Oryctolagus cuniculus: one gene and its partner. The protein of the gene in region 1 purifies or fractionates together with the protein of each later gene. This does not show direct contact. Links are inferred from orthologs where the notes say so. Each region holds a gene or a part of one and is shown on either strand. Other genes may lie near its edges.

Region 1 (4,014 bases):
AAGAAATAGAAAGCAGAAGCCCTGTCCTCAGGGTGCCTGTACTGTCCCTGAGCACTACACGTAAGTACAGTTAAGTAACTGTAAGTGCTACACAGTCCAGGGACAGAGTTCAAGGAAAATTAAACTAGTACATTAAGTCAGGACCAGAAATTTGTGTCTCCACACCCGTCAAAAAGGGGCAAAATTAATTATGTATTGAAAAGGTTGAACCATCAGGAGTGTCAGTGGGAAAAAGGAAGTCATGGGAACCGAAGGTCTGCAGTAGTGAGAAGTGGGGTGGCTACTCAGAGATGGCCCAACTCAGAAGCCTCGAGCATCGTTCTTAGTGCACACACATGGGGCTCCGGTAAGCCCTGGTGAAGTGGCAGGGGAAGACTGGTTGAGCAGCAGCTCACAGGAAAGCCATGACAGAGGAACACTAGAAAGCAACCAGATTTGGAGATCACCGGCAGGACTAGGCTGACGGCTATCCACCAAGGAAGGAGGGGGTACTCGAGGCATCAGCACAAAGAGTCGGACTGTTTGCAAAGAAAAAAAGTCATGAAATTGCAGAAAGGAAGCAAAACAGCATTCTCGCGTGGGGTATAATGCAGGCACGGTGGAACTAAGCTGCACTAGGGACAAGGAATCAGCTCTAGAGAAATCCATGTTGGAGAGAGCAGAAGCTGGGCACAGAAATGCAAAACAGATCCCCAGACAATAAGGAAAAACCACCAGTCTTAAAAAGGGAAGCCAAAAAAAAAAAAAAAAAGAACTCTTGGGTTGCCTCAGAAAGCATGAAGGCACAGACGGAACCCGAACACACCTAAGCAGGGCGCCGGGAAAGTGGGGTGGTCTGGGCTGTGAGTAACCAGCATCCAGGCCAGCTCTGTATTGTATGTGTGCCCACACAGACAGTCAACTCCAGGGCACCACCCAGCAGCGTTCTGTCCCTCCAATTAAGTCGAGTATGTGCTACCCTAGGTGGAAAACAGTGACTGAACTACGTCACTCAAGTTAATAATGGTGTGGAAAGTTGCCTGCTTGATGCAGAACTGTATCAGTGTATCCCACCTGTCCACAGTTATCTTGCCTCCCTCCTGAGGCCAGGTCAAAACCCTCTGTTTCCTCTAATACAGGCCCATGGCAAGGGACTCAGGAATGTGTCAGGATGTAGAAAGAAGTCAACCTAACACTCAAATTGTGAGGCCAACATCTTAAGGGATGAATACCAACTGCTTGTTAGATGATGGAAAAAGAAAAAATGGGCTGTGCCAGATAGTTGGTGTATGGGTTTTGGAAACTGAGAGAGCTGACAGCAAATCCTAACCTCAGCACTTAGTAACTGGTCCTCACCTCTCTGCAGCTCAGCTTTCCCAACTACCAACGGGGCAAAGGCCAGCAGCCCTTAAGGGTTAGTGGCAGAGACTGGACAATACGCTTTGGCGTGCTTTTTGCATTTGCATCACAGTGGGCTCTTAATAGACAGTAGCTATTAGGATAGCTGGGCACCGGTCTTGAATTTGCTTTTGTTTAACACTTGTTCCATTTCGCTGCATTTTCACCCAAGTTCTCTATTTAGCTTCTATATTTTAGTTCAGTCTCTAACAGAGTTAGGCACTCCACCCTTCGCCAGGGTAGGCACCCACCACCTACTCCAACCTGGTTTAGCGACCAAAAAAGCTGGGCAAACAGTCTCACTTGAAAAGCGGCTACACAGACGTCTGATTCAAGCTGCTAACTGCCACTCAAGAAAAGGAACATCAGGAGCGACGCTCCTTCAAAGAAATAAAAGCGTTTCCATTCAAACACTCCCAACCCCGCGGAGTGAGCAAACGTGCAAGTTTCTACTACGAAAACAATCCGTAGCCTTCTGGCGGCTGGACTCGCTTCAACACTCCCAGACGCACGGAGAGGGAAACAATCCGCGCATCTCGTGCCGCCGCCGCCTCCTCAACACAAAGCTTCGCAGCTCCCCTTGCCAAGCCACCCCGGCCCGAGAGGCAGCCGCTCCCCGCAGGTCGGCTCGGGGTCGCGGCCGGCGCCAAAGCCCGCGCAGCCCTGCCGCCCCGGGGGTCTCCACCACGCGGCGGCCCCTCGCATCGCTCCGGAACGCCCTCGAGGCTCAGGGCTCACAGCCCGCCCGGGAAGCCTCCCCGGACCCCAACTCCGCCCCGGGACTCGGAAGAAGCCCCAGGCCCAGTCCTGCCTGGGGGCAGGGGTGCCCGGAATAAGGCCACGCAGTGACCTGGAGGACGCGCCGGGGCAGCCTGGCTCGGCCGGTCCGGTCCAGCCTCACCCTCCGCCCCTCGCCCACTCACGCCCCAGAGGGCAGCCCCCGACCTCGGACGGCTCCGCCTGACGCCGCCTCTCCTCCGGGGGCCCCCGGAACCCGGGCGGCCTTGGGTTGTCGGCCACGTCCACGCGCACTCGGACACACACCCCCGCCGCTCCTCCGCTGCCCGCCTCAGCTTCGCCTGGCGGCCACCAGCCCCTGAAAGCCCAGCCCGGGCCCCGGCGCCGCCACCTGCGCCCCCGGCCCCGCGCCATGTTTGAGAAAGAGCAGGAGCGAGCCAGAGGCCGGGCCCGGCCCGCGCGCCCCCGCGGCCGCCCGCCTGCCCGCCCGCCGCGCCGGGGCTCACCCGTTGCCCCCGGGAGCAGCGTCGCTGCCGCCGCCAACACGAACAGGAGCAGCCGCCGGGGACGCGGAGCAGCGGCCGCCGCCTCCATAGTCCCGCTGCCGCCGCCTGTGGCCCGGCCCGGCCCGGCCGCCGCCTCGCCTCAGCAAGCCTCGCCTCGCCCCACCTCCCCCGCCGCCGCGGCGGCCTCGCTCCGGCCCTTTGTAACTGCTCCGGGGACGCGCGCCCATTGGCTGCCGGGCCCCCGCCGGCCCCGCCTCCCCGCCGGCTGCGAGCGGCCCAGCGGGACCAGGCCGGGAGCCCCGCCTGCGGGCCCGCCAGGCGACCAATCCGGGGCAGCGGGCTCCGGCCTCCGGCCACGCCCCACACACTCCCCGGGGGCGGTGCCGCCAGACCCCTTCCCCAGCCGGAGCGAGCTCCGGGTTCCCGAGGCCGGGTGGGGGTTGGCTCTCCCGAGCCCCAGTGGGCGATGGGTGTGTCTGCTTCTGGCTAGCTTTCGAAAAAAGGCTGCGGCCGCTCGCCGCTCTTTTCTTCTGGCCTCCTCTTAGACACCAAAGAGCTGGTCCTGACCCAGCCCCACCCTGGCCCCCCCATCCACAGCCCTGCACCTGCAGTCGGTAACACAAGCCGCCCACATCCGCACTGTCGCGGAGCGCTTGCATCCACTTCAGCGTCCCCTCCCCAGACCCACGCCTCAAGTTTCAACATCACCTTTCTCAGTGCCCATCACATGCGACTCATCCTGCTCTTGGCGTACACCCCATACCTAGCCCCCTCCTCAAATTCCAGGCCCAGAAAGTTCTCAGATCTCAATCTTAGATCCCAGAGCCCGAATCCAGACACACACCTCAAATAGCCTCCCTCCAGATCACGCCCAGAACAGGGACCCAAGCCACTCTCCTACCCTCTTTTCGACTTCCTGATTCAGGTTGGAAAGGGAGAGCCTGCATCCCACCCTCCAAGGAAGGGAATCTCCGCTCTCAGCCCCAGCTCCTCCCGGGCGGAGGGGAGCAATCATCGTTACCTTGAGCTGTCTCTGATTCGCCTGTGTAATAATTCTGAGGTGTCACTGAAAACCCAAATAAACTCCACTACGTTTTCATTCTGAATTCCTAATTTACTGTGAGACGCTCCACCCACCTTCCCTCTGGGATGCCAAAACTAACTCCAGATTTGTAATTCTTCCTGTCAGACTAGTGCCTTCTTCAGACACAAACACAGCCAAGGAGGCTGTGTTACGCAGCACGGAGAACGATTCTCCGAAGGACCTTTTAAGGAGAAAATGTGAATTTTCTGAGCGATTGGAATTTGGAATTAAATAAAGCTTGGTAATCAGAATCAGAACCAGCCGTCTAGTTGGGATTTGCAAATTCCTTGAGAGCTAGTAGGTGAGAAT
Region 2 (4,273 bases), on another chromosome or scaffold:
TACAGTTCACAAAGCACCTTGGAATCAAAGACACTATAAATTTACAATACTAGTCTTCTATTAAGTTAAATAAAGCAAAGAACAATAACTTTAAATAAAACATCTTATAGCCCAAGTGTACTATAAAAAAGTAAAAAATTCACTGTGGGGATTTTTTTTTTTAGAAGAGATTTTTCCTCTATTAGGGAACCTGGATCTAAATGAACTGCTAAACACTTAGTCTAAAGGTATGCCAAACATTTCTTAAGGTCCTAACAAAGAATCAACTTTTTTTTTTTTTTTTTAAACAAAACGAGGCCTAGGTTAAATATTTTATTTGGCTTCTCAAGATGGACTGAGAAGTTGGGCACCAGCTCCAGACCAATTCCTGGACGCACATCAAACACAGCCCTGTCATTTATCCAGTCAGTCAAAACAATCTTTTCCATCTAACCCTTTAATGTTTATGTCCTAAAAAGCTGCTAATTGAATCCAGCTCTTGAAATCTATTTGTTAAAATCTATACTGTCTAATTTGTAAATGATGAACTAAAATGAAAAATATATATATATGTTAACTTTCCTGGCAAAACAGAAGAGATTCCACCAAATGTAACCACAGGGGAGGGCAATATTTTTAATATCTGTCAAATTTTAAGAGAAAACTATTCAGAAATTCCCAATGGTTTTCAGAAATTGAGAGTACCTCAAACTGTTTTTACAATTAAGGGGACAAAGGGTATTTAAAATCCCTCAGAACAATCTAAATATACAAAATCATTCTATAAATGTAGTCCAACATTCCCTCTGCCCTGAAAACAAATTAAGTGTAATCTTTCCTAACAAATCTAATTTTACTCAATTTTTAGAATGTATCATGCAATAAGGAAACCACAGATAAACACTTTATGACCTACTGAATCATATTAAAAATCTCAAAACTCACGTAATCCGCAGAAAATCAAAATCCCGATTTCCCTCCCCCCCTCCATTTTCTATGTACGTGTATACAGCCCAGAGGGAAGTCAATGGCAACAGCCCATTTCTGATGCTTTGTGCACATCTGGAAGCACAGGTTCCTTCGATGCTCACTGACTCCAGATAGGAACAGCAACAGATACCTCTGAAGCAACAATGATTCCTTAAAGGATTTCCCACAATAAAGAAACTCAATGGAGGAAAGGAAGACAAGCATCCTTCAAACCAGATTTTTCCATTAAGAACCACTCAGTTAATGGCTCTTCGCAATTTTCCCCAAGGAAGGCAAAACTTTCATGGAGGTAATATAGTTTTAAAATTGCAGGCAACTCAGGCTAACTTCTCCAATACCAAATTCACTGCAGGTTATTATCTAGAAGGTTCAGCCAGTGGACTGGAAGGTGACACACAGCATTCAGCTACAAAATTAGTCCGTATAAATCTCAAAGTCTAGTGTGGGCAAACATAATTACAGTTTATTCTGAAGCGCGCGGGCGCACGCGCAGGTGCCCGTGCACGCACACACACACATACATACACACACCAATCTAAGGAAAACCAAATTTCTCACCACACATCCAAATATAAACGTGTTCAATTCATTAACGGTGAAACTAGAATGATGACACACTGATTTCAACTACACGTTCCCAAGCAAATATAATTTTTTTTCCTTAAAATGGGGGAGATATGTTGATATAAGAAAACCAGAAATAGCTCTATACACAAAACGCACCTGTAATAAAGATTTCACGCACCTGGAATCAAACACTTTTTAAGACTAGTCTTCTATCTAGCAAACCCCTATGGACATTCTTTTCCATTTAGAAAAGGGAAAGGGGAGGGTGGGGAAAGTGAGAGAAAGTTCCCTTGAAAGTTGTATGAGTACACTTAGCCAAGTACCCTCGCCCCTTTAAAAAAAAAAAAGTGTTTAAGGCAGGTCTAGAGTTAGCAGGGAGCCACAAGTCCTGCGGCCTACAAGGAACAACTCAAAACATGCTACCCTACAATCAAACACTTCCAAAACACAGAGCGTACAATGAGCCAGAGTCGTGGGATCAGCCAGACACACCGGAAAAGCCAACCTCAGTCTCCTTCCCTCCCCGAGCCGCGCGGTCAAGGTGTGTGGCACGGCCGCCGGGGCTGGCAGCCGAGCGCGGAGGCTTCGCACGCGGGCACACAAGTTAAGAAGCCAGGAACGAACGCGCGCGCACACGCGCACACACACACACACACACACACACACTCACACTCACACCCTCCCGTTAAGCGCTCCATCTTTAAGGAGTGTTTACTGCGCGCAGCAGCAACCGGATTCAATAATCCCCTCCACGACCCCACCTGGGCAGCCTCCCGGGGCCGCTCCCCGAAGCCCCCGGATTAGAATCGGACCCCCCGGCCGACACTCCCCGACCTCCCAACTCCGCCTGCGGTTCGAGCCGGCGTACCCCTCCCTTCCACAAAAGACCCCCCGACTCACCCTCGGGCTTCCCAACCCGAGCGAGTGCTTTTTCCAACTACCTTCTCTGAACTAGGCCCTCCCACGCCCCCGGCCCCCGACTCACCATTGATCGCGACCCTGGCCCTTCCCAAGGCCACAGGCACCCCCCCGCCGGCTCGCCCACCTCGCGGCCGCCCCGGCCGCCCCCCCTCACCTGTCAGGCGCAGCTTGACGGGCCCGTTCCGCCGGCCTCCGGGGTTAGACATGTCCCCGGCGGCGGGGACGGCCGGGGCGGCGGCGGCGGCGGCGGGGCTCCGGGCCGGCAGGCGGGGCGGGGGCGACGGCGAGGCGCGGCGACCGAGTCACCACAGCGGCCGGGGCTGGGGCCCGGGCAGCCGGCGCCGCGGCCGTGGCGGCCGGAGGGTCCCGGATGTGCCGAGCGTCGTCGCCATGAGCCGCGGAGGGAGCGGGACGCCGAGCTCCCCCCTCCTCCCACTTCTCCTTCCTCGGCCCGGGCCGCACAACAAAGCGGCAGCCGCGGCCGGCCGCGCCGCCTCCGCCCGCGCCCCCGCCGCCGCCTGGCAGTAGCCGCGGCCTTCCCCTCCGCCCCGCTCGGCGAGGCCCGGGAGCCGACGGGACCGGCCGGCCGGCTGAGGCGGGCGGTGCTCGGCGCGCCGCAGCAGGACTCAGGGCTCGGCCGCTTCCTCCTCCACCCGCCCTCTTGTCTGAGGGAGCCGGGTCCCGAGGCCGCCGCCACTCGTCGGCTTCGGGGGGCGGGGAGGAGATGGGGCGGGGGCGGGGCCGGCGGCGGGGGCGGGGCCGGGGCGGGGCGGGCCGGCGCGCGCCTGTGCCCGGGGCTCGGGGCGGGCGGCCTGGGCTCCGCCTGGGCGCGGGCAGGGGGAGGCGGGCGCGCCCCGCAGGCCAGGGTCCGACGGGGGTGCTGCAGGGAGCGGGCAAGGGGCCAGAGTGGCGCTGTGGCACCTAGAGGGGCTTCGTGTGCAGCCCACTTCAGGTAGAGCGTGTACCGGTGCAGGACCAGCTGCACTTATTAGACGCCTACTGTGTGCAGGGCGCTCGGAGAGAGTGCGGGTGCTGGGTGAGGAGTGAGTCCCCCGAAGTCAGCGTCTCCCAGGCGAGGAAGGATAACTTTTCCCACTTGCAGCGTCTCTGCAAACCCCCAGGAACTGCAGTTGCCACCACGGCCCAGCACTCACCTGATGGGCGAGATCAGGTTACCTGCTCGCTGTTTCTCCAGCTGCGGAGCGAGGACTGGGAGATAACACCAACGCCTTGAAGACTGTCACCCAGATCAACCTTGGACAGCTGTATATGCAAAGCCTTTTCAGTACCTTGTTTCGTTATCTCAGGAGGAAAAAAAAAAGTGCACCTTACACTTTGATCCTGCACTTGCACTACTAGGAATTTATTTTTAACAAATACAGAACAATACAGAAGACGTTCTTCACGACGTTTGGATAACAGCAAGAGGGGAGTGAGCCAAGGGCCTAACAGTGGCTTATATTACATCAGCCGAGTTTTTCTGGGTGCAGCCATTGAAATGGCAATTATGAAGATCCTTTCCTGTGCAAAAGTGGCACAGTGAAACGCACAAGGACAACAGCGCGGGGGATTTCTCTGTGTGCGCTTTGCTAGTTTACTTAAGGCTGTTCCATTAGTGGAATGTTCATTGTCTAATAAAATTAATAATTTTAACCCTAAATCAGTGTCAGTCATTGCTTTCAGTTCATCAGTGAGGTCAGTTGATTCTCCGGGGAAGTGACCTCCACAAACATTTGATCAGTCTGAATGCAGCCCTATAATTAAAGTGACCCAACAGACTAGAAATACAAGGGACAGCGCTAGAAATTCATTCAAA

Evidence for each region.
Region 2: the proteins of TGFBR1 (region 1) and SMURF2 purify together in Homo sapiens (affinity purification with western blotting; 8 studies listed by BioGRID). This does not show direct contact. The link is inferred for Oryctolagus cuniculus from reciprocal best matches to the Homo sapiens genes TGFBR1 and SMURF2.

Annotation. Positions count from the first base shown.
Region 1 is NC_091432.1:202,741,038-202,745,051, reverse strand, and holds the start of TGFBR1 (TGF-beta receptor type-1), read right to left. Parts: upstream 2,803-4,014; 5' UTR 2,710-2,802; coding exon 2,622-2,709; intron 1-2,621. UniProt on the Homo sapiens protein: Transmembrane serine/threonine kinase forming with the TGF-beta type II serine/threonine kinase receptor, TGFBR2, the non-promiscuous receptor for the TGF-beta cytokines TGFB1, TGFB2 and TGFB3.
Region 2 is NC_091448.1:14,048,277-14,052,549, reverse strand, and holds the start of SMURF2 (E3 ubiquitin-protein ligase SMURF2), read right to left. Parts: upstream 2,801-4,273; 5' UTR 2,664-2,800; coding exon 2,522-2,663; intron 1-2,521. UniProt on the Homo sapiens protein: E3 ubiquitin-protein ligase which accepts ubiquitin from an E2 ubiquitin-conjugating enzyme in the form of a thioester and then directly transfers the ubiquitin to targeted substrates.